Lonchura striata: one gene and its partners. The main gene of each other region encodes a partner of the protein of the gene in region 3 in a complex. Links are inferred from orthologs where the notes say so. Each region holds a gene or a part of one and is shown on either strand. Other genes may lie near its edges.

Region 1 (8,026 bases), on a different chromosome or scaffold from region 3:
GTTAGAACTCTGTGGTCGGTCTCAAAATAAAATGGTCTGTTTTGTAAAAGTTTATTTGTTTTACACACACACACTCACCTTGGTCTATTAAATTCAGAACTCCTACGATGGTATTCCCTTTCTTTGTTCCACCCTTTGCAGCTGCAGAACAGCATGATATTCATAAGAAAATAATGGGGAAAAAAAAAAAACCTTGATTTGGTTTTCAAACTTTAACCCACTAAAATTGTTTCCTGTTGGATTTTTTTTTTTTTTATCATTGGAATCCAAACTCTCCAGGACTTATATATGCCATGTTTCACATAAGGGCAGCTCAGGACCTTACAGAATTTGGACTTTTATACTCAGCTTTTTCATTATTGTTTGCAGATGAGGTAGTCTTCAAAACAGAAAGTAAAAATGTAATTGGGACCAGGCTGTTTCCAACTGTCCAGCTGCTCAGCTGTGACCAAAGCACTAAGCCTGGCTGACCCCTGTGAAAACAGATTATGAAATGCAAAAACCAACTGACTATCTTTGAAATTTGCACACAAGAACTGCTCCAGATAAGGATCACACTATCTCTCTTGAAATAGGTTTATAGAAATATATTGAGGAAGATTACTCTGGAATTTAAAAAATACCCAGCTTTACTCTGGTAGCATCTTTTTACTCAAATACAAATAGTACCATGGAACTGCAGGTGTTACATAAGGAATGAAGGAGAAACACTTGGGCAGGGATTCCAAAACAATTACCTGTATAAAAAAAACGACTTTGTTAAAAGTGGTCAAGCCCTTACCTCTTCTTACCTCAGTTTCCATACATAGAAGTATACCAAGAAAATTTGGTATGATGGTAAATACAACGCTATTTCTTAGGTGCTTAGATTCCACTGTTAGTAGGTGTCTTACAAGTATCTACAGCTCTGCTAAGCCAAATCAGAGGATTTCACCTGACAGCTGGTGTTTCCAGCTCTTACCCATTCTGGATGTTATTGCACTTCACAGAACTGATGACATGTCTGTGTACCAAGTACCTCGGCTGATGCATTCTTTCCCCTCCACACTCTGTAAATTCAGCTTCTCCTACAATCACTGAGTGAACACACTGCCTTTTTGTCCATCTCACTAAGGATGCACAACACAACAAGTAGTTATGCATAGACATAATGAGTCAAAACTCCTAGGCAGAAAGATAAAGAAAGTAGTTGCCTGTGGTTACAGAACTACAGTCCCACACCCCACCCAGATGGGCTTCCCACTGCCTTCAGTGAGCTTAGCACTGAGGAATAGTGGTTTCACCTTAATGACAGAGGTCACAGCTCTGTGCTTAATTAAAAAAAAAAAAATAAGAATGACCATTCAATTAAAATAAATATTCTTACAAAATAACTATTTTTTAAACTGTGTTTGTATTTCCAAATAAGCAATTTAGTTTTCTACCAATTTAGGCTTTTCTTATAAAAAAACCTGAGTTCACATCCTAAAACTCTAAAGTTTTTCTACTAGGAAACTAGTCTCATTTAATTAGTTCTTGATTATATCTACCCTTTCCAATTCCAAGAAAAAGTAATGTATTATCAGTTAACAGATATTCTTAAAATCTTTTGTGTCTGCGTTATTCAATTAGGACTAGAACTGGCACAGTTAAAAATGTCTAGCACAATTGATTTATCTGTGCCTCTCTGGTGAAAAATGTCCTGTAGCTTCCTGAGCCACAGCGACACTGTCCTTCACTCTAGTAAATCTCTGAAAACAAATCTCCAGTGGATAATTCTACTTTGCAAAAATCACAGCAACATTGCCTCCCCATACAAAAAGATTATTGCCTATTTCCCTAAGTTCAAGACTGCATAAATATTTCACATGTCAATACAAGTGTTGGTTGTCTTTTCAGCTGAGGAATAACAGAAATCTGAGCAACTAAGGTAAGATTTTAGAAGTCCTCAAGCCACAGAGAATCAGAAATTTGTGCATGTAGCATGTCATTCTGTTGACAGACCAGCTAAGGATGATGCTACTGAGCACTGTAGAAACTGTCTATTTGTTTGTGGGTCTTTTCATAGAAATATTGCAGTGTTTAGCAGTTTTGGAAGGGGTCAAAAATAACAAAGTTCTGAAGTCCTCAGATATATCTTCTAAAGGTACCAGGCTTGAATTTTTGTTACTTAAGTGTGACTCACAGGAAATCAACTACATCTCTTAGCTTACTGTTGAGTGAAGATGATCAGAGCTGATTTCTGGCAACTTCAGATGACTGCAACACATTAAATATGAGAGCCCTAAGCAATCTACCTGACAAGGAACAATAGTTTTTCCAGCAGCCAAGGCAGACTAAGTGAAAGATCTGAAGGATATCTGTGCTTGATAGCTACGTGCTTGAAACTCAACTACTCTAACAGGAATCAGCCCTTCATTCTTCAGGAAAAAACCTTTCCCAATAGCCAAACACACCTCCCCAGAATCCGTGTGGGATCCAAGATGGAAATCCTGACTAAGGCAAGAAGTTAGAGATTGTTTACCCCGGGGCCTGGACTCCTCTCAGAGATGTCGGCGCGATGCTGAAGGGGACCACCGGCCCCGCTGCCCGCCAGGCGCGGCTGGAACGCTCTCGCTGCGAAGCCGCCGCTATGCTCGGGATGGAGAGCCCCGGAGGGAAAGTGATCCCCGCTGCGTCCCGACCCGCCGGCAAGGGAGGCCCGGAGACCCCCTCCCAAAGGGATTCTCTAGCCAAAGAAGGGGCGCTCCCACCTTCCCCGAACTTCAGCCCCACGTCCCGGCTTGAAGCATTGCCCTCGGAGACTGCGCACCCGCGAGGATGCTCAGCCCGTCCCGGTGCAGCAGCCCCGGAGCGGTAGCGGCGAGCCCCACCGCACACTGCCGGGACGCCCCCGGCCAGCTCCGCCAGCCACTTACCCCAGAGCAGCAGGACGGGGAGCTGCTGCCGGCGGCTGCCCTGCGCCTCCATCCCGGCGCGGGCGGCAGCGGCCGCGGAGGACGGAGCCCACATGGGGCGGCCAGCTCGCAGCCGCAGAAGGCCCGAACTGGCTTCAGGCCGCCCGCAGGGGAGGCTCTTCATGCCTCGGCGTCCAGCCCCGGGCGGCGGCGGCAGCGTGGGCGGGGGCGCAGGGGAGCAGCTCCTCCGCCCCGGGTGCTTCCAGCAGGGCGGAAACGGCGGCCGGGCCGGGCCGGGCCGGGCGGAACGGGACAGGACAGGGACAGGAGCAGGGGCAAGCACGTGCGAGTGTGCTGTGTGTGCGGCCACAGAAGCGCGGCTGTGCCTCCTGCTCCTCCAACAACCACGGCAGGAGCGATGCCGCTCCCAGCCATCGGTCTGTGTGGCTGCCTAGAGGAAAGGCACCTACCCCCAGGGTGACAGTTCTGGTTGTAACTGTCTGAGGGATTCAGGGATTCTTCACCCCTTGCCCTGGGAGCCAGATCAGTTGCTTTCATCCTATCACAACATCCTGGCGGTGGGGGTGAAGGCATGAGATGCTGGAAGGCCACCTGTGTTAGCTCACTTGCAGCCATTGCACGGCATGTGTTGGCATGCTCAGTATTTACAGCTGAATATGGGGAGTGAGCTTGTCTGACCCCACACAGACCCAGAGCAGCCTGGAGTTCTAAGATGCTACGTGTATGTGTATTTTTATGTTGCAATTTCATCTTTGCCTGTCTCTTTTCAGAGATGGTACAGCTCCTGATTTTCATCAATATTTAAAAGCTGTGTTCCTAGAGCTCTCTAGGAAATTAGCATATCCATCGAGAAACACCAGACTGGGAAGCTGCTAAAGGCGACTTTTCTTACCTAAAAATAGTAGTATTGCTCAGTAACGAGGACTCAGACTGTTCTTCTGGGTACATGGACACTCCACCTCAATAATGGCCTTCTAGTAGAACATTAAATCACTGTCATTATTAAAGGTCAAATGTACCATCAAATTTCAAAAGAGATTTTCAAGCCACACACAGGAACAAAGAGTACTTTTAGGTATCAGTCAGGTTGTTAACATTGACTTTGTACACTTGCCTTGCACAGTGCTCCAAACACTTTTGGAGACTGGGACCCCAAAATGTGCCTTTGTAACCACTGTTTTCAGTACACAACCTTTGTCTGATTTATTCTGTTGTCTAGGCTGAAGGAAATGGAGAACTTCAGAAACCACAGAGAAGGTTGGGAATACAATGTTGAAACAGCTCTGTAGACATTTAAGTGTGTCACTGAGAGTTAACCTCCTATCCCTTGTGTGCCACTTCTTCCACTTAGCTGGAAGCAAAGCTTGTAAAACACCATAAACCATAAATAATCCGTAGCTCAGGGAGATCATCCTTCAGCACAGGGGCTACCATTTCTGCTTTGTAAAGAGTGTTTGCAATCTGCCCCTGCCAGAAGAAGCTGCAGCAAAGTGACAAGCATAAAGGCACATACACCACAGACTAGTTATACCATCTATACATTATGTGTAATATGGATAATTCGTGCCTGCAGGGTGATAGGTGAAATGAAGAAGGTCTTTGCCTTTATTAGTGTTCAGCTCTTTATTAAAAAGTCAGCTCGGCAGGGGGGGGTGTTGTAGCTTCTTCTGGTAGCTGTAGGGTGAGAAGGCGTGCAGAGTCTGTCCCTGGAGTCTCCGTGGCACACTGGTAGCCAGAAGTGAAGAGGTGTCCAGTCTGTATCTGAAGTCCCAGGAGACTGTCCTCTTTCCTTTCCTCCTGGTACACTGGTAGTCACAGGGTAGGGGGAGGATGTGCAGAGCCTGCTGCCGAAATCCTGAAATCCGGCAGCAGCTATCCCTCTCCTGCCCTCCTGGTAACACCAGGTAAAGTGTCTGTTCTCCTTGTGCCTGCTTCCCACAGTCCAATCCAATCTGGTCCTCTGCAGGTTATGGTGACAGGTCAAACACAGACTAGGGATGGGGTTCCCTTTTCCCCAACCAGCACACCCATCCAGCCCCCTCCACTGTGCCCCTCTTTTTCATTTTGGGGTACTTTTCATCCCCAAAACCCCCTCCCATGATTCCACTGGCTTATTTTGCATCCTAGTCCTAGTTTGGGTGGGGGTGTAGGTGATTCCCAGGAGCGATTAGCTAATTAACATTTCAATGTCCATACTTAGCTTAAGCCAAAGTGTCCCAGCCAGGCTGTTTTGTTCATAACAATAGGTATGTAATGTTTCATACTACTGAAATTATTGGCATAAAACATACGAGCCAGAGCTAGGGGGTTGCTTCACATATGTTGAAACTATAGCTGATAAGACTTCATTTACAAGTTAATACACATAGGTCCTTAGGTTCGAGATGGGTCATTTCTCAAGGTGATCTAGGAACTCCCAGGCAATGATTGTCCTGGCTACTACCCAAGATTGAGATCTCTGGAACCACCAAAAGATACATCTCAATACTGAGTTCCCTTTAACTCCATCAAGGATGTACTTCCTGGACAAGGATTGCTTCCTGGACTCCTGTTTGTTCAACTCAGCACGGAGGAAAGAGACTTTATAAAATTGTGGGACTTTGAATGGAAAGAAAAGGCTGATTGCCAAAATCCTGGCCTCGAGCAAAATAAACCATATAAAATCTGCTTGCACATGACGGTCAGTGTGAAACATAGGGGTATGCTGTGTTGGTCAAACCTGTGTCTCACCCAGCACCGATCCCAGTCTCAGCACTGTCCTTTTCTTTGTAGCTGGCTCAGATAGAATTTGATCGCTAAATAATTTTTTTTTTTTTAATTTGGCTAGATTAATTTTTACCTATAACATATAGCATTCTTTCTAACAGTAAGATCTTGATTTCCATCACAAATTCCATTTCTCGCAAATCTGAAAATACAGTTAGTATTTTCAATAATTTAGATTGATTTCCAGGAGGCTAAGCATCATGGTTTATTGCAATATTATATGTTTAAAATGTTTTAAAAGTATAGTATATTATACAGTATAAAGGCAATGCTTTTTGTAACACACCTGGAGATAATGGTGTCGGGTCTTTTTGCATCAATTGCATTTGTTTTCTTCTCCTGTTTCAGATTAAAAACTGGCAAAGTGAGTGTTACTTCTTCCAACTCTCAAGATTCAGGAAGCACTTACCATTTTGTGCTTGCAGCACATAGTTTGAAGGTGCAAACAGTATCTCTGAGGTAGAAAAAATTGATAGAATTTATAGGTAAATGCACTAATGCAGCATGTTGCATTGTGTTATGTGTATTTTGGATAATTCATGCTTATAAAAAGAAATATATATAGAATATGTTATGTTGGTCAGAAATATTCTTAAAAGGTTTTAAGCATGCAAGCCAGAGTTGGGAGATTGCTTCAAGATATGTCAAAACCGCTGACAAGAGAGAGGAGGACCTCATTTGCAAATTAATGAACGTAGCAAGGTGATCCGAGGAACTCCGAAGCGATGAATACTTCATAAATACATCGGAAAGATACATCTCAATGCCACGTTCCAGTAACTCGACGATGGACTTACATCACGCTTTGGATACAGTTTTGTTCAGCTTGACCTGGAGAAAAGAAACTATGTGAATATACTACTCTGAAAGGAAGAAAATCTTGATCGCAGAAAACTCTGCCTCGGGCAGAATAAACTGTATAAGAACCGCTGGGACAGGACAATCAGTGTGAACATAGGAGACCCTATGCTGTAGCGGTTGGACCTATGTCTCACCCAGTGCCGATCCCGGGCTCGGCTCTGTTCTTTCGATTGTGGCTGTCTTAGACCAAATCTTGATCGCTGAATAAAAATCTGATTTATTAATTATTAATTATTAATTAGGCTTGATAATTTTTACCTATAACAATTGGATCACAAGCCAGCTATGGTAGGTGATATCTTCAGCAACGTGTTCTAAAATGAGTAAGTCTGATTCACATTTGAACAAAACTGTGACAGCAGTAGAACAGTCCTCAAGATGGTTCAAAAAACTTAAGCAGTTTGCAGTTTTTCAGTAAGACTGACCACTTCCCCCAACTCCCATTGTATTGCAGTAATGCGAAGAGATTCACTCCAAAATGACTGCAAACAACCTTTTTTGTTCTGCAGATCTGCTTTGGTAGCATCATGTACCTACACTAGCAGCAGAAATCCAACTATAAATGGAAATCCGGCTATAAATGCCCTTTGCTATACAGAGCTCTGAATCCCGTCCTCAACACAGACACTAACAGTGACCTCAGAACCAGTCTTTTTTAATTTCCAGACATATAACTTCCAGAGATCACACTGACACCTTCTTAGGTACCCTGAAGACAGTGCTGCAATCACATTACTTCAGAATTTTTCTAAAATGCTTACATCTGCTAACAAGACATTGGGTAAAAGAAAATACAGCAACAGACATGTAGATAGTTGTTTCAGTATAGCAAGTTCCTGAGGAGTTCATGGTGAGAAGAGATAGAAGAATTCAAGCTGCCCAGGACAAGTATTATTGTCAGCACTACAGGTCTCAGAATGGTGAAGAATAAGGTAATAAACTTTCTTGCTCCAGAGTTTAACTGATTCAACAGAAACTGAAAAAATAATAAAATAAATTGAGAAAAAGCTGAAGACATTACACTATGGAAAACAACATTGCCTTTCCTTGTCACTTCATGAATTTGCCCAGAGAGAGAGACTGCTTGCCCATATGGAGGGACTTTACCCAGTGTCTGATGAAAGCTTTCTTCACCTTTTCCTAGCACAGCAATTTTGTATAAAAGACGCATTAAGATTTCAAGACCACGTTTTAATGGGATTGCTTGCTGGACCGAGGTTTGAAAAAATAGGTTCAGTTTGCCTGTGGTTTGAAACTAAAGTAGGTCATCCTTCCTATTTAGTGCTCCTAGAAACATGCTGTTCCTGCTCCAGAATTAAAAAAAAAAAAAAAAAAAAGTATCTGCAGGTTATTAAGATAATTCCTCTCTTTTTACCATCAAGATAGGAAATGTAAAAACGTGATAAACCACACTGTCCAGTTAAAAAACAACTTCTTCCTGTGACTCAAAGGCCCCACTGTGGTATATTTACTGTACGTCATACCGAAATTTAGTTTACATC
Region 2 (6,878 bases), about 6.9 Mb from region 3:
CTCTGAGGTGTCAGGATGTGTTTTCAGATCCCCAAAAGCTCATGCTGTAGAAGCACAGAGACAAGGGACTGAAACCATGAAGCAGCTTCATTAGAGGATTTGATGATTAAAAGCACCCAGCTCTGCAGGCAGTGTAATGGCAGATAGGGATGAAGATTCCCTGGTAATCACCCATCCATAGAGGAACTGACCTGGCAAACCCCAGCCGTGGCTGTATTTTAGAGCAGCAAAAGGCATTTAGCTATCTGAGTGAGCTAAAATGCTGCATTTCCCCTCTAATGGGTTTTTAATGCTCCTCTTGCTCCAACCCAGTGGTGCTTTAGGTCCTGGCTTGGTGCAGGCACCGTGCTGGGAAGGGCTCTGACCACAGCCACGGACTTGGGGCACAAATCTGCCCTGAACTTCCCCCCAAAAAATGACAGAGCCAGACTCTGCATCCAGTCAGGGAGGCAGAACAAAGCTGCCAGAGCAGAGCAGCAACTCCAGACTCCCACCCACGGCTTTCCAAGACATCCCTCAACTCTGCCACAACCCCAACGTTGATTTCTAGCCCTGTGGAAAGGTAAAAGATGCCAAGCCCATCTTTACCCATTATGAGGTCTCATTTCATTCCATCCAGGCCATGGCATTTGTATTTGCATTACTGCAGGAGGCTGCTGTGCCAGTGCTTCACTTAAACTCAGCATCGTTTCAGAGCTAATAAATGCAACCCTATTCCTCAAAGCCAAGAGGCTTCCTGACAACATCACACAGCCTCCAGCCAGCCCACCAAACCCACCTGCCACTGGTTCCTGCAGCAAAACAACTGGCACCTATGGGAGCAGTACAAGGAATTACAGGGTGGAGGCAATTTTGTTGTTCCTATTCACGTGCTTCTCTTTTGATGCATAGGAAGTTTTGAGTCCTCTCCATGCCAGAGATGCTCTCAAAGGAGGAGGAATGTTTTACTTTATTGTCAGGGATTTCTAACGAGGCATTCTGTAAATATTGGGGATTTTCTCAGAGAGGCAGCAGCCTTAAGTTCGAGTTTAAAGGGAGCTTTAGCTTTTGATTAAGGAGGCACTCAAACTGCAATCAGTGGCAGGCATTACCGAGTGTGCTTTGGCCTGAGAGAAGACACAAAGCACTTTAATTCCTGTTTTCCAGGAAAGGTCATACACACTGCCTAGAAGTTTTGTTTTTAAGAAAGCATCGTTTTCTATAGACTATGCAAACACAGTGCTGTACAGCACAGAGAAAAGATGCAGGGAATCAAGAAGGTATTAATGTTTTACCAACCTTATTTGCAACTGCCTCTTACCTCTCACAGTAATAGTTATCTACACCCAGAAAAAATCCAAGCAGCCCAGCACAGAGCTGTGTGTGGTGCCAATCATCACTGCCCCAGTAACAGCAAGAGCCTGCCTCATCCCCTCCTCCCTGAGCAGCCTCTGCAGGAAGCTGCAGTCAAAACCCAGAAAAAGCCCCAGTGGAAGTGGTTACCTCGGGGTACAGCTGGATCCCTGGCCTGCTGAATGAGACTTTTAGGATGACTGATTCCCTGGCTGCCATTGCTTTTTAAAGACTGCAGCCAGTGGTGAAATTTCTTAAAGCTCAAGCTTTAAAAGAAAGGTTTTTCTCTCAGACCCTTCTCTTTTTTTTAAAAAAAATCTCATTTTAAAATACCTGCATTGGTGCAAATCACCTTGATTTCTGAGCACTCAGTTGCCACTTGCAATTTCAGGGCAGCCCTGACTGTGTGCAGGGCCGTAAAAGCAGAAAGGTGTAAAAAGAGTAAGTGGGTCTTTTTGTTAAATGTGCTCAAAATACAAAATCCCAGGAGGAGAATGTAGTGAAAAACATCTACAGCACCAAGATGAGCTGTCACTGGGCACCTGGTTCACACAAGAGGCAGCATCTTCCTGCTCCTGAGCCCACTGGAGATGGAAAGGAGCAGCCTGGAGTACTTTTAAAAGTTACAGCTCCCCAGCAAAGAGAAGGGAGAGTCAGGAAAAGGAGACGGGGCAGGGAAAAAAGAGCAGAGAGAAATCCTAGCTAGCAGGAGATAGCGCTCTCTGCACAGGGCTGTGCAGCTTTTCCCTGCAACCCCGCAGGAAAATGTGCCTCGTCCAAGGGCACGGGCTGCTCCTGCCCTGCACAGCTGAGGAGTAGTAAATAGTTAATTACAGTAGTAAATAGTTAATTACATGGTACAGATCAGCACATCATGTGTAGCACGGCTCACTGCGTTACTCCCCAGGGTTTGGGGGGAAAAAACCAGCACAGGGGAAGGAAGGGAAAGAAGGAAAAATTTGTGCTGCCTCAGGAGCACCTTTTGTGGAAGATCAGCTTAAGATGAGGGGGTGCGGTTTCCCTTTGGAGCACCTTAAATAAACACACTTTTACACAGCACCAACACCATCACCACCCCTCCGAGCTTTTGTTGAGGGCACACAGGTGACAAGCACGGCACAAGTCTTTACCTGTTGCACTGAAATGCTAGGAGCAGCGAAGAAACCGAGGCATCCCATGGAAACAAGCACACAACTCCAGCGTTTCCAAGCCCTCCACCCGTAAACCCCAGAACATCCGACCTCAGCTCTTTGAAGAGGCACTTCTGGCTACCTCCTCTTCCCTGCGGCTCAGGAATGGGAAGACAGACTACAAAAGGCAGTAATTAAACATTTCCAACAAAAGGCACGGACCAGAGACAGAACCCGCCTCGGTCCAGCTCGCCTAGCAAGCAGAGAATCCCCCTACAAAGCAGGCTGCGTCCCACAGCATCACCACCTCACTGCTCCCGAGGCCAAGCGCCCTGGAATAATTTCTCCTTTTCCTTTCCCTACTGCTGTGTCGCCAGCGAAGCCAGGCTGGAGCCTGGCCGGGCTTCAGGGAGAGCGGTGGGAGCGCGGAGGAGGCGGCCGGGGATGCACGCCCGCGCCCGGCGCAGAGGGAGTCCCGGGGAGCCTGGCGCGGCGGCCCCGGGGAAGTTGTGCCGCGGCGGCCGCACTTACCCAGCACGAAGCAGAGGAAGCGCCGCGGGAGCAGGGCCATGGCCCCACGGCAGCCGCGGCTCCGCTGCCGGGGCCGGGCGGGCTCCGCGCCCGCGGCGCTGCCGGAGGGAGGGCGGGCCCGGGGCGGCCGCGGCCCCGCCCGGCTCCGCTCCGCTCTCCCGGCGGCAGCGCGGGCCGCAGGAGCGGGAGCGCTCCCGCGGGGACAGCGGGACGGAGATGGAGCCCGGGCTCTCCTTATCGCCCTCTCCCCCTCGCAGCCCACGGGCGAACAGTTCCGAAGGAAAGCACGGAGCAGCCCGCCTTCCTCAACCCCGGTTCCACCTCCAGCGAGGGGATTTCTCCCTAGCTAAAACATCCTGCCTTCTCCCCCTTTCTAGGGCTGAACATACACATGGAAGGCGATTTTAAGGAGGAATGTTTTGTGGTTTCCGCTTTAATGTTTATTGGAGTGTAGCACCGCTCCCGAGCTCCTACAGCTCCACCTGCAGCTCGCTGCGGAGCTGTGCCCCAGCAGCAGAGCCTCAGGTGCTCCGGATCGGGATACGCCCGTGCAGCAGGGCAGGACTCTGCTGCAGCGGGGTCACTGCCCCACAGCTCGCTTCTCTCACGCCTGAGGTCAGCTCTCCCTCTCGAAGGTCAATAAAAAAGGAACAGCAGAGTTTGCTAACTCGAGTCTTTCACATCGTGCACACTTTGCTTTCCCAAGAGGAACAAGACAGCCAGTTCCTCCTGAACTATTAGCACCCGCCTAATCACAGAGCCCGGCTTGGGGAACAACAGCTGCTGGTAATGAGGTGAAGAGCAAAGCCTGGGACTGCTTCCATCTTGTCAGAGCCCGAGACACCAAAGCCGCGGCCTCACCTGCAGCACTGGGACCAAGGGCACAGCACAGAGCCATGGCTCTGCCACGGGGACAGGCAGCAGAAGAGGTCTGCAAACAGCACAGCATTGACCCAACTCTTTTGAAGAACAAATTTTAACCTTTATTGACAGTAAACAAGGCTGTTATTTCCAGCAGCAATTGCAACAAAGTACAAACAAGAGACTGGGTTAGGTGATCTCTGAGCAGAATCACCTTTTCTTAAATGTATTATATACTTGTTTCTTACTGTGGAAAATGGGGATTCTTATTTCCCCATTATTTAGTAATGCCTTGGCCATTTCACACCTCCCTCATGTTAAAAATAAAAATTATTATAAGTCATCATCTCCCACACAAAACAACAGGGAAAAAATACTGTAATATGAACAATTTGGACTGCAGAGCCCACGCACCACTGGAAAACCAAATAATCACTCCATAAGGAAAGCACAACACATTTTGAGGCTGTTAAAACTGACTGAAAATGCTTCCAAGCATAAGATTTTAATGTTTTGGGGATGAGTTTCTGTCCCTATCTACAGTCCTGTGAAAGTCAGCCAGGAGATTAATCCGAAGACTTTTGCAGGAAATGTGGCAGTGGCGCTGCTAGGAGGTCCCTAAAGCAAGCAGAGCACCAAGCTGAGCAGGAGACTAAAGCAAGGATGGACACACATCCCTGGAACTCTGGGCTGTAATTTCAGCACCTTCAGCTTGCTGCAGCGCCACACGACCAAAAGCATCGGTGAGAGAAAATAACAAGACACAGTCTGATTCTGTCAGGTTTCCAGCCCAGAGCTGGCCCAGGCAGCAGACAGAAACCATCAGTGTTTGGATCCAGAGGGAGCCAGGGCTGGGATTTCGGGTGAGAGGCTACACAAGGCCTGGCCCTTAGGTGTCAGCTGTGCACTGAACGCAGACAGTGCCCTCCACACAGCTCAGCAGTGAGGCAGTCCAGCTGTTGGAATCCAAAATACAGGGGATTCTCAGGACTTTGGGCCTGTAAGCCAAAGCTCAGAATTAAACACAGGCTTTGATCTGACTTGGAAAAGTCTTCCAAACTTAGGTGCTAGAAGCGAGAATGTGGATTTATAGTTTAAAGAAGAGACACATTAAGAACAGAAAAGTTTACACTTTTGAAGTTTAAGATAGAGAAAAAATGTAAACAGTTACAAAGATAAACAAGGAGTTCAGAATGCAGTACTGTAGGTTTGTGTGTCATAACATGACTGACTAAGAAAGCTTACACTGTAGCATGAGTTCATAAGAGGAAATATTTAAAAATTGGGTCAAAAAACTTAAATATCCTTGTTGGCAGTGTTTTATTGGCCAATAAAGCTTTAAAAGGTCTTATAACTAAAGGTCTTGTGACCTTCTGAACTATGCACTAGTGAGTCAAACTCATCCTTTCTATCTATATAGAAGAAAAATAACCACATAACCTAAAAACTCAGAGGTCCTGTCTCTACCTTGTTCAAAATGCCTTCAAAAATCCCCATATTCAGTAATAAACCACCAGTACACCAAGATTTATAGAATGCAACCTGTTTTACAGCTCCCAGTCTTTATAAACCGCTGCTCCAGTGGATTCACCCCGGTACCTCCTGCAGGGCCAGAGGCTGCAATAATCTAGTCAGGCTGTAGGGTGGGTTTACTTCCTTTAGCCTGGAATATTCACCTCTTTCAGTGCTTCTGCTGCTGAGAACTCAGAATGTCAGAGGCCTTCTCCTCAATAGAACTGATGGCCATGCCACTCAGGACACCCTTGTTGATTCTCCTCACCTCCTGCACTGCGCCTGCAATTTCCTCTCTGTGGGAATGAAGGAAATAACCGTGAACATCATGTTTTGTGCCACACATTTAGTGATTGGTTAGCATGCGTATTGACTACATTACAAATTAGGGCGAAAAAGAAATCCAAATATCTCACCTGCTAAACCCTGGATGCCTTTTTTGGAGTCTCTTTATTAACTTGGTAAAGCTGCTCAAGTTCAGTGCGTAAGGAGAAACAAAGATACCAGATGGGTCCACAGAGGAACAAATGGATGTTTTCTGCAGGGAATTTTCCCCAGGATCCTAGAAGTGCATCAAAATAAGGGAAAAAAATGCATGGCTTAAGGGTTGTACGGGTAATAAAACACCTCTTTCCTACAAATAAATATAAAATCCTAGATCCACAGAATGGTTTGGGTTGCAAGGCACCTTAAAGCTCATCTTATTCCTGCTACTTTAAAGTAGATCCAATTACCATTTCCCAAAGGACCAGCATGTTTAAAGGGAAATCCCCAAAGACAGCAAATCTGTGGGGTTTATGTGAGCAACACCAGCAATTACTGAATTGCCCTTTACTCTCCAAGGACTAAGCTGAGCCAATACAAAACACTGTATGTATAGATTTCTTAGATTTATGCTGGAAAATCCAAGAGTTTCCTTCCCATCCATTACCCCAAAATCTTTCCTGTATAAAGCCACAGGACGCTTACATTAAAAAAACTGGTGTTGCAAGATGAAAAATGTAGTGCAAACGTGGAAATTCCAAACTGTCCTAGGATTCAGAAAAACCAGCTGGGGTGTCACAGTCTGATGCAGGGGCAAAAGAATGGTGCTTTCACTCTTCTGCCACATGACAGAAACTTATTACCAATATGTTACATATTTTCCTATCCTTACATAATTTTCTATCTATTAAATGTTACGTGACAGGAAGATTTAAAGCTTAGTCTGCCACACAAAGTAGTGTGAGCAATAATTACTTCCCTTCTGATTATCTCCAAGCAAACAATGTGCCAGCTGTTGAGTAGGTGATTTCAAATCAAGGCTCTTGGTAGTAAATGCAGAGTATGAAAGAAGCCTTAAAGAGGCAAGAAATTCCTCCTACAAATTAAGAACAGACCTACCTCAGGCACTGAGGTTTTTGGACCACCAACAGGAACAGAAGATTGTTCATTCCCACTCCCCACTGTCTTCACTTCTAGTAATAAATGTAAGAAAGTAAAGAGTGACTGTTCTTGAGCTGACATCTTCTC
Region 3 (6,913 bases):
TACATAATTGCTAGATTCCATGATGCAGCTCAAAGGGAGGCAGAGCTGAAGTGACTGCATTAAACTAAAACATCTAGGGCTTTCATGTAAAAGACAAGAAAACTCATTAAGCTGTCCCACCAAGAACATTGAAAAGGATTTGTAAGATTTGTGAGATTGATTAGATTACAAACTAGAATGATGAACTTTCTAAAACAGAATGTTTTGAAATGAGACAATAGATATAAAATGTTAGGAAAGAAAAGATTAATTTGTATGCAGATTATATTGTGATTCCTCTGTCATTTCATGACAGTGTCTCTCCTTCAGGCTCCCTCTTGTTCCAGCAACTTTTCCATGGCTGCCTTGATTCAACATCTACAAAACCCACATGGGAAAAAAGATCTAGGGAAAAAAAAAATCATCCTTTCTGTCCCAGCAGAAGCCTGGCTGTGTGGCTGCTCTCCATTTTATAAACTTCCTTCTCTCTGAGCTCTACTGCAGACTAACGGGGTCTCCTCACTGAGAGGGATCAGCTGCTCCCAGGACTGTGAGACTCCTCCAGGACTGCTGTAGCTAGGATAGGACTGACAGGTACTCTCCCATCCTCTCATACCCCACTTAACATTGTACTGGAGAAACTTCTTGTGCTCCTGTGGTATGTCTTGTAATAACAGCAATTAAGGGATCCAGTGAGGTCTCTGTTGTGTCATTGTTGAGAGAGGAGGGAAATGGTACAGCTAGCATCTCAAGAGTACCTCTCTTTCAACTGACTAAGAAAACATTTCATAGTGATTCATCTGTCAGGCCTGTTACTTGGTGCAGTGAGAATCAAGACTGCAGTGTCACAGACTGTAAAGACCTGATTATAATCAAGATTTGATTAGAGAGTGCAGGCTGCTCACAGCTGTGTGTGCAGTTTGGCCACCACACCAGCTATCCAGCTGTTTTTGTTTAGCTCAACAGTACATAGAGATATTTTTTTCCCATAAAAAGTCCAAACTGCAACGTGAAATGATCTTCAACATAATAAGATTCTTTTGTGCCCTTCTGCTTAATTCACTTCTTTTTGCTTCTGTACCTCCCATAGCTGCAGAACAATCAAATCCAATAAGAAAAAAAGATCTACGCATTTCCCAAAGACAACTAAAGGATGAGCAAGGGCATAATTGAGGCACAACACAGGAAAAGGTATGGGTCAGGTGCCAGAGTGGTGAGGCAGTCAGAAGATGAGGCTGTGCTAAGGTGCTACGGTGACTGTACAGTTCCACTTGACTAGAGTCCATTCATCCAGTCATTTCATTCCAGAATTTTCTCCAGTTGCTTTGGGAGGGGAAATGCAGAGTGCTGTGAAATTTCTCCCACGCTGTTTGGTAACAGCCAACAAGCTGAAGCAGTTTCACAGAGGTTTTGATGAGTTTCCATATATCATCTGATCTGCAATAACTTGGTATGTGCTCTTAATCCACACAAATGATATCAAAATATTTTTGAGAAAAAATTAGTGTCCTTTTGTTAATTCTCTTTTTTCCTCACATTTGTACTGATATGCCCTCCTTTTTCTCATTTTTATTTTCTACCTCCTGCTTGAGTTTTATTTATGGTTCACTTGAGCCAGAATTTCTCCCTGCATCTCTAATCCCCTTACTTTCTCAAAGCTATAGTTATTTTTTTATTCACATTTTGAGCATGTTTCCAGCTTCTACCTTCTGAAACTTAGTGAAGGAGACCTAAGGGTTGCGTTTCCTAACCAGATGTTTTCAATGGTGTCTCCACAGAAAGAGCGGGCTTCATGTGAAGCAGAGCTGTATGCGTGTGGTTAGGGGGTGTTCACACAGGGCAATTAATTCCCGCATTAATTAATTCCCGAATTAATTAAGAGGGTAAATCCTTGTGCAGGTAAATCCTGCGTTTATGCCCCGTGCGGCCGCGAGAGGGCGCCAGCGGCGCGGCGAGCGCTGGGCGGGACGGCTCTGCTGGAAAAGGGGGAATTCCCTGGATTTATCTTCTTCTCTCGCTTTTAAGCCTTTTTCGGTCCCACTCCAGGGAGGTTTGCACATTTAGGTCCCCTTGAACTGCTCCTTCCTTAGCTGTCGGCAAGAAGGGCACCTGTACGGGCGTGATTTACGCAGCCAGCGACGGGGAGATGCAGGGGAGCCGCCACTCTCAGAAGTGCAAGCTGCAACAACGGAGGGGTCTCGGGAATCTGTAGGGTATGAGTAAGTAAGTTTTAATGTTATTTAATCAGTAGAATATAAAACATTGTAAAAATAAACTCCAAAACCCCCCCGAGCGAGCAACCAAAAAAAACCCCCACCAACAGAAATGCTCACACAAAAATCCAGTGACTTTGACAAGCCAAATGAAGCATGGCCTGTGTAATACGTGTTTAGCTAATTCAGGTGCCTGTTTTAGAGCTGTGAGCTTGGCTGGAATACATGGATTATTCTCTAAACTGGAGTGTGTAATGTACCCTGTTGCAATCTTCAACCCAGACCTAACTGGTTTAAAGCAATGCTACCAGGCTCATTCCTGGTGAAATTCCTGTACCTGAGATGACACCACTTCTTTTAGAGAAGTTAATTTCCATTGCTGTTCAGAATCAGAGCTCATCCACAGTTTATATGTGTTTACATTGCCTAGAGGTTCAGAGTGACAGTCCTTAGTTCTTCACTGATTATAAAACTCAGACATTCTCCTGTTGATGAGAGATGAAGCACCAGTTCTCACATGTGCCAAATGAGTATCCAAGCCTGCTTTTTTGGTAATCCTGGAGTGGGATTTCACAAATTGTATTGTCTAGGGACCATTTGGATTGAAAGTATGCCTGGCCTTCTTTTCCCTCTTCCAATTTTTCCTGACCCTGGGTTTGGGCTGGGTTTTATTGAAGTTTTTTGTTTGTTTTTATGTTTATATTTCCCCCTTAGCTTTTTGTTCCTTGCTGTTTTCAATGCCCAGGTAAATTCTTTCATTCAGTTCACAGTGTGTTCCACAAATTATTCTGCTGGAGGAAAAGAAAAGTGGATAAGTGACAGGTAGCAAGAAACAAGCAGAATATTTTATGTTGTTTTATGAGCAAATTCAGTGGTATAATTTTGATAAAACCTTGTGACAGTGTGACTTTTGGGAGGTTCTTGTGGTGTTCCCTAAGGAGTACTGGTGTTACAGGCGTTCTTATAATTTCAGTTTGATGCTCCATGAACTCCCCATTTGTTCAGCATAGTTTTCCTGTGCATACAGTAACTGGTTATTGGTTTAGAGGGCACAGATTCTGTCCATAGTACAGGGAATTGATTGTATAAAAAATATTTGTAGTTTCTGGTACAATATTCTTTGAAGCTAGTGGAAAGACTGCTATCCATTTTGTTTTGTCCTGTGTCATGGCAGTTTTCAAACCATTCATACTTGTGCTTTCACATCACCAGTGTTTAGAAAAAGATAGCGTAGAGATCAGCAGTAGCAATGTTCCTGTTGCTTTTTTTCCTATATACTTCTTGATAAGTCTTGATACTTCAAAGACTTATTTCTTTAATACTTTTTTTTTGTACCCAAGAAAAAAAATAGTAGCACTGTAAATTATGTGCCTGATTGTGATTGAAAAATTGAATCTGACCTGTGCAGCTGCTTTACGTCTGAGGAATAAAGGGAATTTCTGTGCAGAGCTTGTCAGCCCTTACGGTATGGGATGTCATGCAGAGCCGGTGGGTCAGGTCAGGCATACTGAGGAGCGATGCAGCTCTCGTGTGCTCTGAAACTAATCTGTTTCTATGGGTCTAGCTGGAGGAGGACGGCGAATCTCAGTGGCTCGATACGCGAAAGGACAGGTCCCGTGGTCTCCTCCTAGCAGCAGAGCGGCGAGCGAGCGTCTTGCGGGCGGAGCTGCGCCGGCCGGGGCCAGCCGGCAGCGCCGGGGCTCGGACGCCGCTGCGGAGCCCCGCTTCCCCGGGCCACGCCGTGCGGGAGAGCAAAGTGACTGCCGCGGCCGCAGGCGGGGTCGGGTGATGTAACAGGAAGCGCTGATGCTCGGCCGCCGCTCCGCGCTGCTCGGACACGCTCCCGCAGCAGCGCCGCTCCGCCGGGACAGCGCTCCGGATTGCGGAGCCCCGGGAGAGGCGGCCCCGCTCGCTCTGCCCCGCGGCGCTCTCTGCAAGCAGGGCTCGGTGAGTGGCTTCATTGGGATCCTCGTTCTGCCGCCGTGACACCGCAGCGGGCGGCGGGACCGCGGCTCTGCCCCGACCCCGGCGGGCGATGCGGTCTGCGCCCGCACAGCCTGCGAGGAAAACCTTCGCTCGTTTTTAGCGAGCGAGGTGTTGGGCTGATTTTATAACCGGCGGTGTTATGGTCTACGCTCGGTAGGATAGATAGAGATAAAATGCCCAAAGGTAGCGCTTTAAGGATTCTGCCTGAAACCTAATATTAACTAACCAAATCTCTGTCTTCACATCTGGAGAGAATTAGAGACTCGTTGGCTTGAAAAGGGTCCTTAAGACTAATTCAGTACAACTGCAGCTCTTTCAATAGAGGCTGAATTAGGTGATAAAGTGGTGTAGGTTTACTTACCGAGTATTTCTCTAAACTTATTCTACCAGAAAGAGGTCACACTTGAGTTGTTTCATAATTAGGTTTTGTGTTGTAATTACACAACTTAAAAGATAAAGCTACTGTTTTGTTTGGGCTTTCTGTTTGCTTGAGCAAAAGTTGGGTTGCTTTGAAGGCTGCACGCCTGCCGGCACGTTACTGTTTGAGGTTTTTGACCGCAAACACCGAGGTGATTTATTGACAGCTAAATGCCCACTTTTCCTTCCTTAGAGAAACTATTGAACGGTGGCAAGTGTGTGATGCCGTGCTTTCAATTGCCAGCTGATAGGCAGTTAACGTCTTGACACTCCTTAAGCTTTCCAAAACAGATGTGATACCCTCCCGTTTTACAAATGCGGTTGCAGTGCTGAGATTGGGAATTCTAGTCATTTGCTCGTGTGGTAAGAAAGGGAGCAATAGAACCAGGAAAATAAATCTTGTTAGGCTGTAAATCACACCTGGATTTGATCTACAACTAATCCTTCAGTTATCCATGCAGTTTATAAGAGAAGAGAATGAAATTGTTATAAAAATAACTGAGGGTTTTTTTTCTCTTTACCTTAATAAACTTACACCAGGGACCTTGGGGATGGACTTTGCTGTTCTTACAATTGTGCCAATGCAATCTTCCCACTCTTAATGTGCCTGCTGGGGATCTTGTCATTCCCTTACACTAGTAATGCTTCTAACAGTTGAAAACTCTGAATCTGAGGTCCTCTCGGTGCATGGGAAGGAGACACTCTAGATTAATATAAGACCACATCTGAAAACAGATGTGTTTTCTTTTAAAGTACATATGCTGTGGTACTATGTGAAATCCTTAGTTTTAAAAAGTTATCTGTATTAGCATGGTATTTTCTTCTCTAGTTTGCTTAAACTCTCATTATTTCACTGTATATAGAAGCAATCCCAAAGTCTTTATCCAACTTTGGGAATCTGCACAAAAGGCACTTGGTGACACTAAGTCAATAGAGATGGCACTTCACATAAACGGTGCTTATGTTAAATGACCAGTGCAGTGGGAACAACTGTCTTTAGAAGTATACCAGCTAAATGATTTAGATTCTTATTTTTTGTTCTTCATAGGCAACTGGTGTATGTTGAAGTGGGTCTGCCCACAGAAGATATGCCAGGCATGTGCATGTTTGCAGGCTGTATGTCAGAATCTATGTTGTTTGCAGGTTAAGCAAAGACAGGCGGGGCTGTCTTTGCTTAAGAAGAGTGTGACTGCATTTTTTACTGGACAAAACTGAGTACCTGATAGATTGCAGATTCAAGAATTGCTTTATGTGTGTCCTTTCAACTTCAAATGTTACTGCATACTGAATTTCTGATCATTTGGAGTCATTCTCTGCCTTAAGAGATATAGTACTTGTCCCTTTGAATAGGCTTTTCTTGATACAACACAACTGTTGAAACCCTGGCCCACTGAGAGCCAGTGGGAACTTTTCCACTGACTGTCAAAGGGCAAGACATTCCTAAATGTGGGTATTTTTCTGCTGAAGGAATTACACATAGATGGTCAGCCATCCAGGGACTTTACATTCTGCTGTCTGTTGGCAGCTGGTTTTTTTGGTAATTTCTGTAATTTTGGAGCACTTCAGTTGAAAAACATGATCTGAAAAACAGAACTGCATGTGTCTCGCTGGGTGACCGGTGCCTTACCTGGGTCAGTAAAGGGACTTACTCTGAAAAATACAGGATTATTCCATGGGCTGTCTGGGTATTGCAGTTCAGATTATAGACCAGGATACAACTGAGAGTAAAACTGAGGGAAGAAAGCACATTAACAAATTTCCTTTGACATCTATATAGTTACTAACTTGCATTTGAGGTAATCATCTTTCTCCAGTAGCATTCCTGGCTTGTGCAGGAACTTGGTAGGACTGGACTCACAGAAGTACATGAAGCCATGCAGTCATGCAATTAAAATGGGACCATGGTCATTTGGAAGAAATGATGTGTTTTATACCGATATGTTTTAATAATAACATGTATTCAGTGATATTTAAAAGAGGTGTATCTAGTCACTGCTATAGTAACTGTTGAACATAAGCTATCAAAGCCATTGAGGGAAGTTGTCCAATGAGAAGACAAGTCTACAGTTAGGAAAACAAAGCAGGATTTCTCCTTAAGAAGTTGTTCCCATCTGTTGCCAGTGTGTTTATGATGTTCTTGATTTGGTACCAAAGCCCCTTCAGTGCTTCTGAGCAGCTGCCACCCCTGTGGCACACACGCAGTGTTTGCCTTGCCTCGGTGCCCTGGCCAGCCCTGCTCTGCAAGCCTGGGCAGCTCTGTCACTGAGCTTCATGTGCAGCAGTTTGCTCAGCCAGGCTCTGCACTTATTGAAAACAGC
Region 4 (7,293 bases), on a different chromosome or scaffold from region 3:
TCATGGCACAGAACAATCTTAAATACCGATGCATATCTCGTGATCCACACACACCGCACTTATAATTAACAAAAACCACGTACAATTGCACTTTTCCTCTCTGTGACGTTCAAGTATATCGCAGTCCCCGCAGGGACTAATGAGTGTCCGATTCCCTGCCGGGTGCACATAACGCAGAGGGTAGAGCAGATGTGGGCGGCCTGTCCTTGCCCACGGCTGACGCGCACCCTCCGACCCTCGGGGGCAGAGGGCGAGGCCGGGGCCCGTCGCCCACCGGCGGGTCCCCCCTGAGCATCCCCTCCTCGGGGCGGCGGGGCGCGGGAGGGCGGCCAGGGCCGCCCGGCCCCCGGGAGCAGCGGCGGCGCCTTGGCGGCGCGGGCTGCGGCGGCTGCGGAGCCGGCGGTGCCCGGCCCGGCAGGGCCAGAGTCCGTGGCGGGCGGGGGGCGCAGCGTCCGCTGCCCTTCTCAGCTCCCCCGAGGGCGCGCCGGGGTCCCGCCCGGGCAGACGCTCTCCGCGAATCCTGGCGGATCTCAGTCCATCCGTCGAGGCGGCCTCGGCCGGGTCTTGCGGCGCTTCAGACTCCCAGGACGGCGGCGAGGGGCTGCGCCCGGCGCGTCCGCGGGCGCCGCCCGGAGCTGCGGGAGCGCGCTGGGCTGCGGCGCTCGGGCAGGGAGCGTCGCCGGCGGCCGTAGCCCTGAGGACTGATCTTGTTTGGAGGGGCGGCATCGTTCCTATCGTTGACGGCCGCCCTGTGGAGCTCGTCGACCAGCCAATGCACCGTGCACGTCCCGAAGCGGCACGCCTTTGTTTGGAAGTGGGGGAATCTGTTAATGCTCTGGCGGTAGCGCTTGACGCGGATGTGAGCATCCTCCCGGTTGCTGCAGGAAGAGAGAGAGCGCATGAGAAGAGCGCAGTGGGGGCCCGGAGGAGGGGACCCGGTGGGCGAGGGGAGGGGAGGGCAGAGGGCCCCCAGGCTGGAGACGGGCTCGTCCCCACGGTGCCCAGCAGTCCCGGCTGTGCCCTCCGCGGGAGCGCGGAGCACAGCCTGCTGCCCATGCGAGGAGAGGCCCCGCCGCTTTACGGCTGTTACTTTTCCCTATGCATCCAGGGCTCGAGTTACTATTTATATCTGACTTTCACGGCAAAGGCGCTACTATCTCCCGCCAGCTAAAGAGCGCAGGGAAAGGAAGGCGGGAGGCTGCTTTCAGCGCGATGCGCAGCCCGGACAGGACCTGCCTCTGGGGCGGGGAGGATCTTCAGCGAGAATAACCCTAAACACCCGGAAACGAGGGGACCCCGAAACTTTCCAATGTCTCGAGCAAGTGCCCGAACCCAAGAAGGGCTGGAATTTACCTGGAAGGCGAGACTCGGGAATCCTCCTTCACGTCCTGGGTGCGTATGAGAGGCAGCACGTCGGCGGCTGCCCCCAGCCCTCGGAGCAAGCCCGCAGGCTTCACGTCCCGCTTGGCTCGGCTTAGTGCCCATTTCGTCCATCTGAAAGAGCACAAGGGAAGAGGAGAGCCTGTTATCGCAAGTCTGCAGGGGCGGGAGCCAAACCAAATAGATTCGAGAGGCGAAAAACTTTGCCAGCGCCGAGATTTTTTTTTCCTTTTTTTTTTTTTTTTTCTTTTTTTTTTTTTTTTTTCCTCCCCGCAAAGTTTCCTGAAAGGGCACGAGGCCTTTAAGGAGCTGAGCAATTCCTGCAGGGAATCCAGTGCCTGTGATCGCTGCCGGAGCCAGGCGCGGGGGCTCGGCAGCTCGACGCGCGGCGCGGGGCGCTGGCAGGAGGGCGCGCTCCGATACTCACTTTCTTTTGAACTCTGTCGCTACGTCCACTCTTGCAGCATCCACCCCGAAGAAAGTCACAGAGCCGAGATAGAGCAGGGCTACGTGAAGTAGTTTCATTCTGGCTGGGCTCCTGCTGGAAGGGAAAGGGCAGAACTATAAGCATGCTTGCTAACAAAAGTCAAGTAAGGACTGTCCTTTATTCCTGGTGATTCCAGAGACCTCCTTCCCTCGCAGAGCCCCCAGGCTACCGGGGACTTTGTGTCTGATATGAACCAGAAGCTAATATTTGCTCAACAACTTATCACAGAGTAAATAACAGAGCCTCCAAAGTTTACGTTTGTCGAGAGTTTAGTTGCAGAGGCGGCTGAAAACCAGCAGGATTTCCAGAATACCCCCAGCGGCTTGCACTAGGATTTAGCAAACCCACAGGATCAGAGAGAGCTGGCTATCGGACGCATCGTTTCCAAACTCCAGCAAGTGTTTTGATGCCGGGAAGTTTATTCCCTGATAGCTCCTCTTCCCAATTCACACGCAGAACCAACTGGTTCTGGATCTTATGTTGTGAACTGCAGCTGATGCCAAGAGCCAGTGCAAGACTCCACAGCATAACTCCAAACTCTTCCAAACAGTCCAAATTTAGTAGAATTTTACTTGCGTTCCACCTCCCCTGAATCTTTTGTTGCTGCCAAGGACGGGGGGAAAAAATAGCTCTTACCTGACAGTGAGGATAATCCACTGAGACAAATGTTTTTGTAGTAGCGATCCGAGCTCGCAGGGTTTCCTGAGAAGAGAGAACTCCTCCTTTGTGTGTATGTGTGTGTGTGTGAAGTAATCACTGCCGAGCTCTGCGCTCCACTGCTCGCTTTTATAGAGCAGCGCTGAGAAGTGGGTGGACCTTGGCGTGGCTGGGCGATCTCTCTTTTGGCACCCCCCACCCCCACATTTCAAGCACTCCTTAAGCATTCTGACCTGGATTGGGGGCAACACGGAGGGGGGAAAAGAGGATTATTGAAAATTGTCTTCAACAACCCCCTTGGTATTTTGTTAATTATAACGGCAGCTTTTAGGATCCTGAGTTATGGCACAACTTGCAAAATCCGATGAGCCCCTCAGCCTGTTTTACTGGGGACAGACATTTTAACCGTCAAAATATAATTATATTTATGCTGTCTGTAGCATAATTTCTCATTCTAGACATCTTAGCTTCAGGTGGGTGAAAGCAGGGGAGTGGAAACCGGATTCAATTAAATCTAAAATCCATGAAAATCAATCAAATATCAAAGTTCCAAAAATAAACCCATATTTGGACAACGTGAATTTATGATGAGTAACTGGAATGACAGCCTTCTTTACATAAGTAATGAGGTGGCAAATCGGGCATCATTAATATTTATGACAACTTGGGTGCATTTTTTATCTAACAAAATGAATTTTATTTACTTGATCGATTCAAGTAGATCACGACTCAAATGGTTTTGGCAGATGAAGGTTAGAGGCCAGTTCTGTGCCTTGGAACAGAGCAAGTGGCATTGCTTTCAGGCAAACACAGGGTCACTGAAGCGCCTGGGGTTACGGGCGCTGGGAAGATCCGCCGTGCCTTGTGCTATTCCCTATCCGCAAACCTCACGGACGTGAGTGCGGTTACTTCCCGGTCAGATAGCTGAACCAGTGCAGGATCGGGGTCTCTTACAGCGTTCTCCTGGCTGGCCAGCAGCAAAACCTTAGTCTGACCACCTTGTTGTTGGGTTTTTTACAGTCTTTAACGCCTTTGCTCCGTGACGCTTCAGAAATGCAGAGGTCCGGCTTCGCAGGGGGTGCTGGAAGCCAGCAGCGGAGGGACCGTGTCTCCGCTTACTTGTCGCAGTGCAAATTCGGCGGGACCGAGGGAAATGCCCCGGGAGATCTGCGCCCTGGGGCGCCAGGGTCCCCTGGCCAGCGAGAGACTTTCGGCGGGAAGGAATGAGCTGGTGAGATGTTCCTCTCGCATCTTGCCCCAAGCAAAGCGTTTCAAAAGTCAGGTGAGTGAGTGTGTGCTCGTGACTGTGCCTTTCTAGATAACCGCGGTATATAACAACACCCCGGAGAGGTATGTGCAAGGGGGATGACGGAAACTTTCCTGTGCACGGCTCACTCGGTCTAAGGCGCTCTCTTCCCTCCCTCCCTCCGCTCCCCAGCAGCGTCCAGACATCTGGAGCTTTCTGTCTCCGGCATCTACCTGTGCGGGACAGGCTGGCCCGGCAGCCGGGGAGGGCCAGCACTGCCTGTCGCTGCTCCCCATGGCACCAGCCGGCCGCCCCTCTGCCCCGAGCCCCCTGCGCGGCTCTCGCGGGGCGAGGCCGGTGCCCCGGGCCGGAGCCGGCCGCCGGGCGAGCCCGGATCCGCGGTCCGCCGCACCTGCCCGGCCGAGCGCGGGGCGGAGGCGGCGGCGGCCCCGGAGCGCCGGCAGCCCGCGGGGCTCGCCCCGTCCCTTCCGCCCGCAGCCCCGCGGAGCCGCAGCCCCGTGCCCGCGCCTCGGACCGGCTCCGGAGCACCGACGGGCAGAGCGAGAGGCTCGGGGGGAAACAGGCAGGAAGAAACAGGCGAATAAGTGGTCTAGAACGGGACCGGATCGTGACCAGAGCTGCATCATCCCGGGATGGCTGGATTTTAGAGACCTCATGAGCCAGCTCAAGCTCGTGCGGGTTCAAGCATTTCCTTGATTAGCAGAAGTTGAAACAGAATCTTTTTTTTTTTTTTTTTCTCGAATGAGAAGGCAGGATTTTATGTGATAAGCATTGCTTTGACTCAAATTAAGTCTCCCATTCCAGTAAAAAAAAAAAAAAAAAAAAAAAAAAAAATCACATATTTCCTCAAATGCTGGAAACCCCCTCATTAAAATCCTTGGCTTAAACGGAAAGTGTATTTTGTATACTCTAAGCCAAACAATGAAGAAAAAAATTCCTAGTGATTTAGGATCATTAATAACAGTAGTAACACAACTCTCATGTGCCTTCCATACTGACTGTAACTATCATCTCAGTGATACAAAATTACTTCAAGTAAATTCATGAGGTGGCAAACTCTGACACATAGATGATCAGTTTGTTGCTGATATGATTTGTGAAAGGGCGTCAGCAGGTAAAGCTTGTTCAAATCTACCACAAAACATCATGTTCTTTGTTCAGATGCTCATTTTGTTCTTTCTATGAACTTGCATTCTCATGCAGTTTGGAAATGAGCAATAGTCACTAAATTGGTACTATGATGTAACAGTGGCCACTTAAAAAAAAAATATACCACAAATAGTTATTTCCTTAAAAAACAGACAAACAAACAAACAATTCCACAGAATGTTCCACAGCAATATCATTCACAAGCTGTGAGTCTGAGGCAATGCCAAGCAGTTCAGCAAGACCACTGTGTGATGTGAAGTGCAGGGTCTCCTGGATGCTGCCTCATCCGTGATGGGAAGCTGGCCTGGAGGAGCAGCCAGCCCCTGTTTACTGCTTATCTTGGGTGTACCATTCAACCTCTTAGTGTTCCCATACAGAAGACTTTACAACAAGTATCTGCTCTGCCAGGGACATGGTGAATATGAGTTGCTGTTAATAGAGAATTTTATTCAGGTTGAGATTGATTAGAAAAGGTCTAAAATCTGTGGGTAGCAACGGGGAATCATTGTGAGACAAATATTCTGTGCTGATTATGGAAGAAAACTGTTGTTTGAAGCCAGTGGAAGTGCCTTTGCATGTTTCACTTTGTTTAAACAAATTGTTCTGAATTCATATGCCATGAGTATGAATAGACTGGATTGTATTTCAGGCTGCATGAAATCAGCAGAAAGATAATACTAATAGGAGAATGGCACCCCCTGAAGGATGTAAAACCTCAATCAAGCTCCAAACAGAAAAACCTTACTGTACTCAGCCAGTTCTCTCAGTGCCAAGAGCACAGCAACAAAGGGGTGATTCCATTTTGGTAGTCTTGTTGGAGGTGCTTTGGTGAGCCTTATGTCTGACAGCTCTGACTATACCAAACAAAGCCTCCAAAGTCAGTGGGGGATGTCTATTGGTAGGGGAAAACCTGGTCAGGGACATGGCTGCCCCCTGTTCTGGCATAGGTTGGGGTGACACTGGCTAGAGACTGCAGGCAGTGTGAATTCCCTGTTTCCTGAAGGAGGAGTGAAATGTAGAAGGTATTGTGGATGTTCACACCTTGTTGTTGGCAAGTGCACAATGTGAGTGTGGCAACATTGTCCCTTGAGTGCTTTCAGGCTCTTGGAGAGGCTGCAGCCTTGCAATTGTTCCCCTGGGTTAAGTACATGAGTAGGGGCTTGTGGAGACCTGTGCCTTGGTGTCCTCTGTGAGCCCCTGCTTCTCCTGTGAGGAGCCAGGCTACCCTGCTGCAAGTGAAGGAATGGTGGTCTGGATGAACATTCAGTTTAACTTTCCATTAGAATTTAGGTGAACAAACACTGTATCTGTTCCACTTCTTCATAAGTCCTAAAAGAATGTAAGATTGCTCTATACTTAAGGGAAGTTGCCCAAAGAAGTTGTGGATGCCACATCCCTGGAAGTGTTTGTGGTGTGGTTGGATGGGTCTGAGCAACCTGGTCTAGTGGAATGTGTCCCTGCCTGTAGCCAGGGGGTGGTTGGAACAGGATGTCTTTAATATCCCTCCTGACCCAAACCATTCTGTGATTCTGTGAATAAATAAGCTCAACTGAACTTTCTATTTCTTATTTAAGACGTGCCACTTCTTATAAACTTTGGCTGTCCTGATCTAGATGGCAGAAGGAGCAAGGCTGTAAAGTGAGCACTATCATTATTGCAAAATCACTAAATAAACATCTTTCTCTTAAACCAGCATTTATTAAGGAAAGGTGTGAGTGATTCTCTCCTGCTAGAGGTGCTGTATTAAAAGGGCAGTGAGATTTTACTATTGAGATTTGTTATTGCATATTGAACCTTTTTATGGATGCAGATACAATAACTCTAAGGTCCTATTTCAGCTCCAAATTAGGTAATTTCTTAGTGTCTTTAAACTTTCGCTCCAGGTTTAGATGTACAAAACATTATCCTTTGTTTTTGTGAACTGTTGTTGTGTCCTACAACCAAAATGCCTATGCACAACTTAACAAAGATATTCCTACCTAACTTCTAGCTAGAAGAAGTGACTGATCCCACAGAGTGCATCCCTTTCTCAAAAAGTATGGTCAATCTTTTTGATGTATATATGACACATTTTTCTTTACTCCTAAACAAGGAAATGTATTAGGATTGGATCTTTACACATGTAATTTTCTTCAAAACAGCTAAATCACGAAGCTGATGACTCCGAGGAGATGTCAACCTCTGCCCTCCGCTGAGAAGGCACAAGTGGGAACACTGCTTGAAGCTTCCTGTCAAATTTGCATCTGGCTTAGCAGCAAGACACTGCATCACCATGTCCCAGCTACGAGGTGTAAGAACGGCGTGTTTGAAGCAGAAATGTCTCTGAGACCACTAAGGACTGTTTGCTGGGTCA

The links. The genes of interacting proteins can lie anywhere in the genome.
Region 1: the proteins of CALCRL (region 3) and RAMP3 are in contact, whole or in part, in a cryo-EM structure (PDB 6UVA), measured with the Homo sapiens proteins. The link is inferred for Lonchura striata from reciprocal best matches to the Homo sapiens genes CALCRL and RAMP3. Residues at the interface, in NP_001258680.1 of Homo sapiens: Arg38, Asn39, Met42, Thr43, Gln45, Tyr46, Glu47, Tyr49, Gln50, Met53, Trp69, Asp70, Ser117, Arg119, Thr120, Phe228, Leu231, Ile235, His238, Thr239, Val243, Val245, Lys249, Gln250, His251, Trp254, Tyr255, Phe257, Leu258, Phe262; in NP_005847.1 of Homo sapiens: Trp56, Cys57, Leu59, Phe62, Ile63, Tyr66, Glu67, Thr70, Cys82, Tyr83, Pro85, Asn86, Pro87, Leu88, Gln90, Ile93, Thr94, His97, Arg98, Cys104, Thr105, Val106, Asp107, Arg108, His110, Leu111, Glu112, Asp113, Pro114, Val118.
Region 2: the proteins of CALCRL (region 3) and RAMP1 are in contact, whole or in part, in a cryo-EM structure (PDB 6E3Y), measured with the Homo sapiens proteins. The link is inferred for Lonchura striata from reciprocal best matches to the Homo sapiens genes CALCRL and RAMP1. Residues at the interface, in NP_001258680.1 of Homo sapiens: Asn39, Met42, Thr43, Gln45, Tyr46, Glu47, Tyr49, Gln50, Lys51, Ile52, Met53, Gln54, Thr68, Trp69, Asp70, Gly71, Arg113, Arg119, Thr120, Phe228, Leu231, Ile235, Thr239, Val243, Ala244, Gln250, Trp254, Tyr255, Leu258, Phe262; in NP_005846.1 of Homo sapiens: Trp59, Ile63, Tyr66, Arg67, Ala70, Phe83, Trp84, Pro85, Asp90, Phe93, Leu94, His97, Gly98, Phe101, Arg102, Cys104, Pro105, Ile106, Ser107, Gly108, Arg109, Ala110, Val111, Arg112, Asp113, Pro114, Ile118, Leu119, Phe122, Ile123.
Region 4: the proteins of CALCRL (region 3) and ADM are in contact, whole or in part, in a cryo-EM structure (PDB 6UUS), measured with the Homo sapiens proteins. The link is inferred for Lonchura striata from reciprocal best matches to the Homo sapiens genes CALCRL and ADM. Residues at the interface, in NP_001258680.1 of Homo sapiens: Val36, Thr37, Asp70, Gly71, Trp72, Asp90, Tyr91, Phe92, Gln93, Asp94, Phe95, Asp96, Pro97, His114, Ser117, Thr120, Trp121, Thr122, Tyr124, Thr125, Asn128, Val135, Ala138, Leu139, Leu141, Phe142, Thr145, Thr191, Leu195, Ala199; in NP_001115.1 of Homo sapiens: Cys110, Arg111, Phe112, Gly113, Thr114, Cys115, Thr116, Val117, Gln118, Lys119, Leu120, Ala121, His122, Gln123, Ile124, Tyr125, Gln126, Phe127, Thr128, Asp129, Lys130, Asp131, Lys132, Asp133, Asn134, Ala136, Pro137, Lys140, Ser142, Pro143.

The regions. Positions count from the first base shown.
Region 1 is NC_134603.1:82,685,497-82,693,522, reverse strand, and holds the start of RAMP3 (receptor activity-modifying protein 3), read right to left. Parts: upstream 3,075-8,026; 5' UTR 3,061-3,074; coding exon 2,898-3,060; intron 1-2,897. UniProt on the Homo sapiens protein: Accessory protein that interacts with and modulates the function of G-protein coupled receptors including calcitonin gene-related peptide type 1 receptor (CALCRL), calcitonin receptor (CALCR) and G-protein coupled estrogen receptor 1 (GPER1).
Region 2 is NC_134610.1:38,601,750-38,608,627, reverse strand, and holds the start of RAMP1 (receptor activity-modifying protein 1), read right to left. Parts: upstream 3,075-6,878; 5' UTR 3,034-3,074; coding exon 2,994-3,033; intron 1-2,993. UniProt on the Homo sapiens protein: Accessory protein that interacts with and modulates the function of G-protein coupled receptors including calcitonin gene-related peptide type 1 receptor (CALCRL) and calcitonin receptor (CALCR). Required for the transport of CALCRL to the plasma membrane.
Region 3 is NC_134610.1:31,706,664-31,713,576, forward strand, and holds the start of CALCRL (calcitonin gene-related peptide type 1 receptor), read left to right. Parts: upstream 1-3,844; 5' UTR 3,845-3,948; intron 3,949-3,978; exon of another isoform or gene 3,979-4,139; intron 4,140-6,913. UniProt on the Homo sapiens protein: G protein-coupled receptor which specificity is determined by its interaction with receptor-activity-modifying proteins (RAMPs). Together with RAMP1, form the receptor complex for calcitonin-gene-related peptides CALCA/CGRP1 and CALCB/CGRP2.
Region 4 is NC_134608.1:51,968,074-51,975,366, reverse strand, and holds ADM (pro-adrenomedullin), read right to left. Parts: upstream 2,695-7,293; 5' UTR 2,504-2,694; intron 1,922-2,503; 5' UTR 1,906-1,921; coding exon 1,808-1,905; intron 1,495-1,807; coding exon 1,354-1,494; intron 879-1,353; coding exon 575-878; downstream 1-574. UniProt on the Homo sapiens protein: Adrenomedullin/ADM and proadrenomedullin N-20 terminal peptide/PAMP are peptide hormones that act as potent hypotensive and vasodilatator agents. Numerous actions have been reported most related to the physiologic control of fluid and electrolyte homeostasis.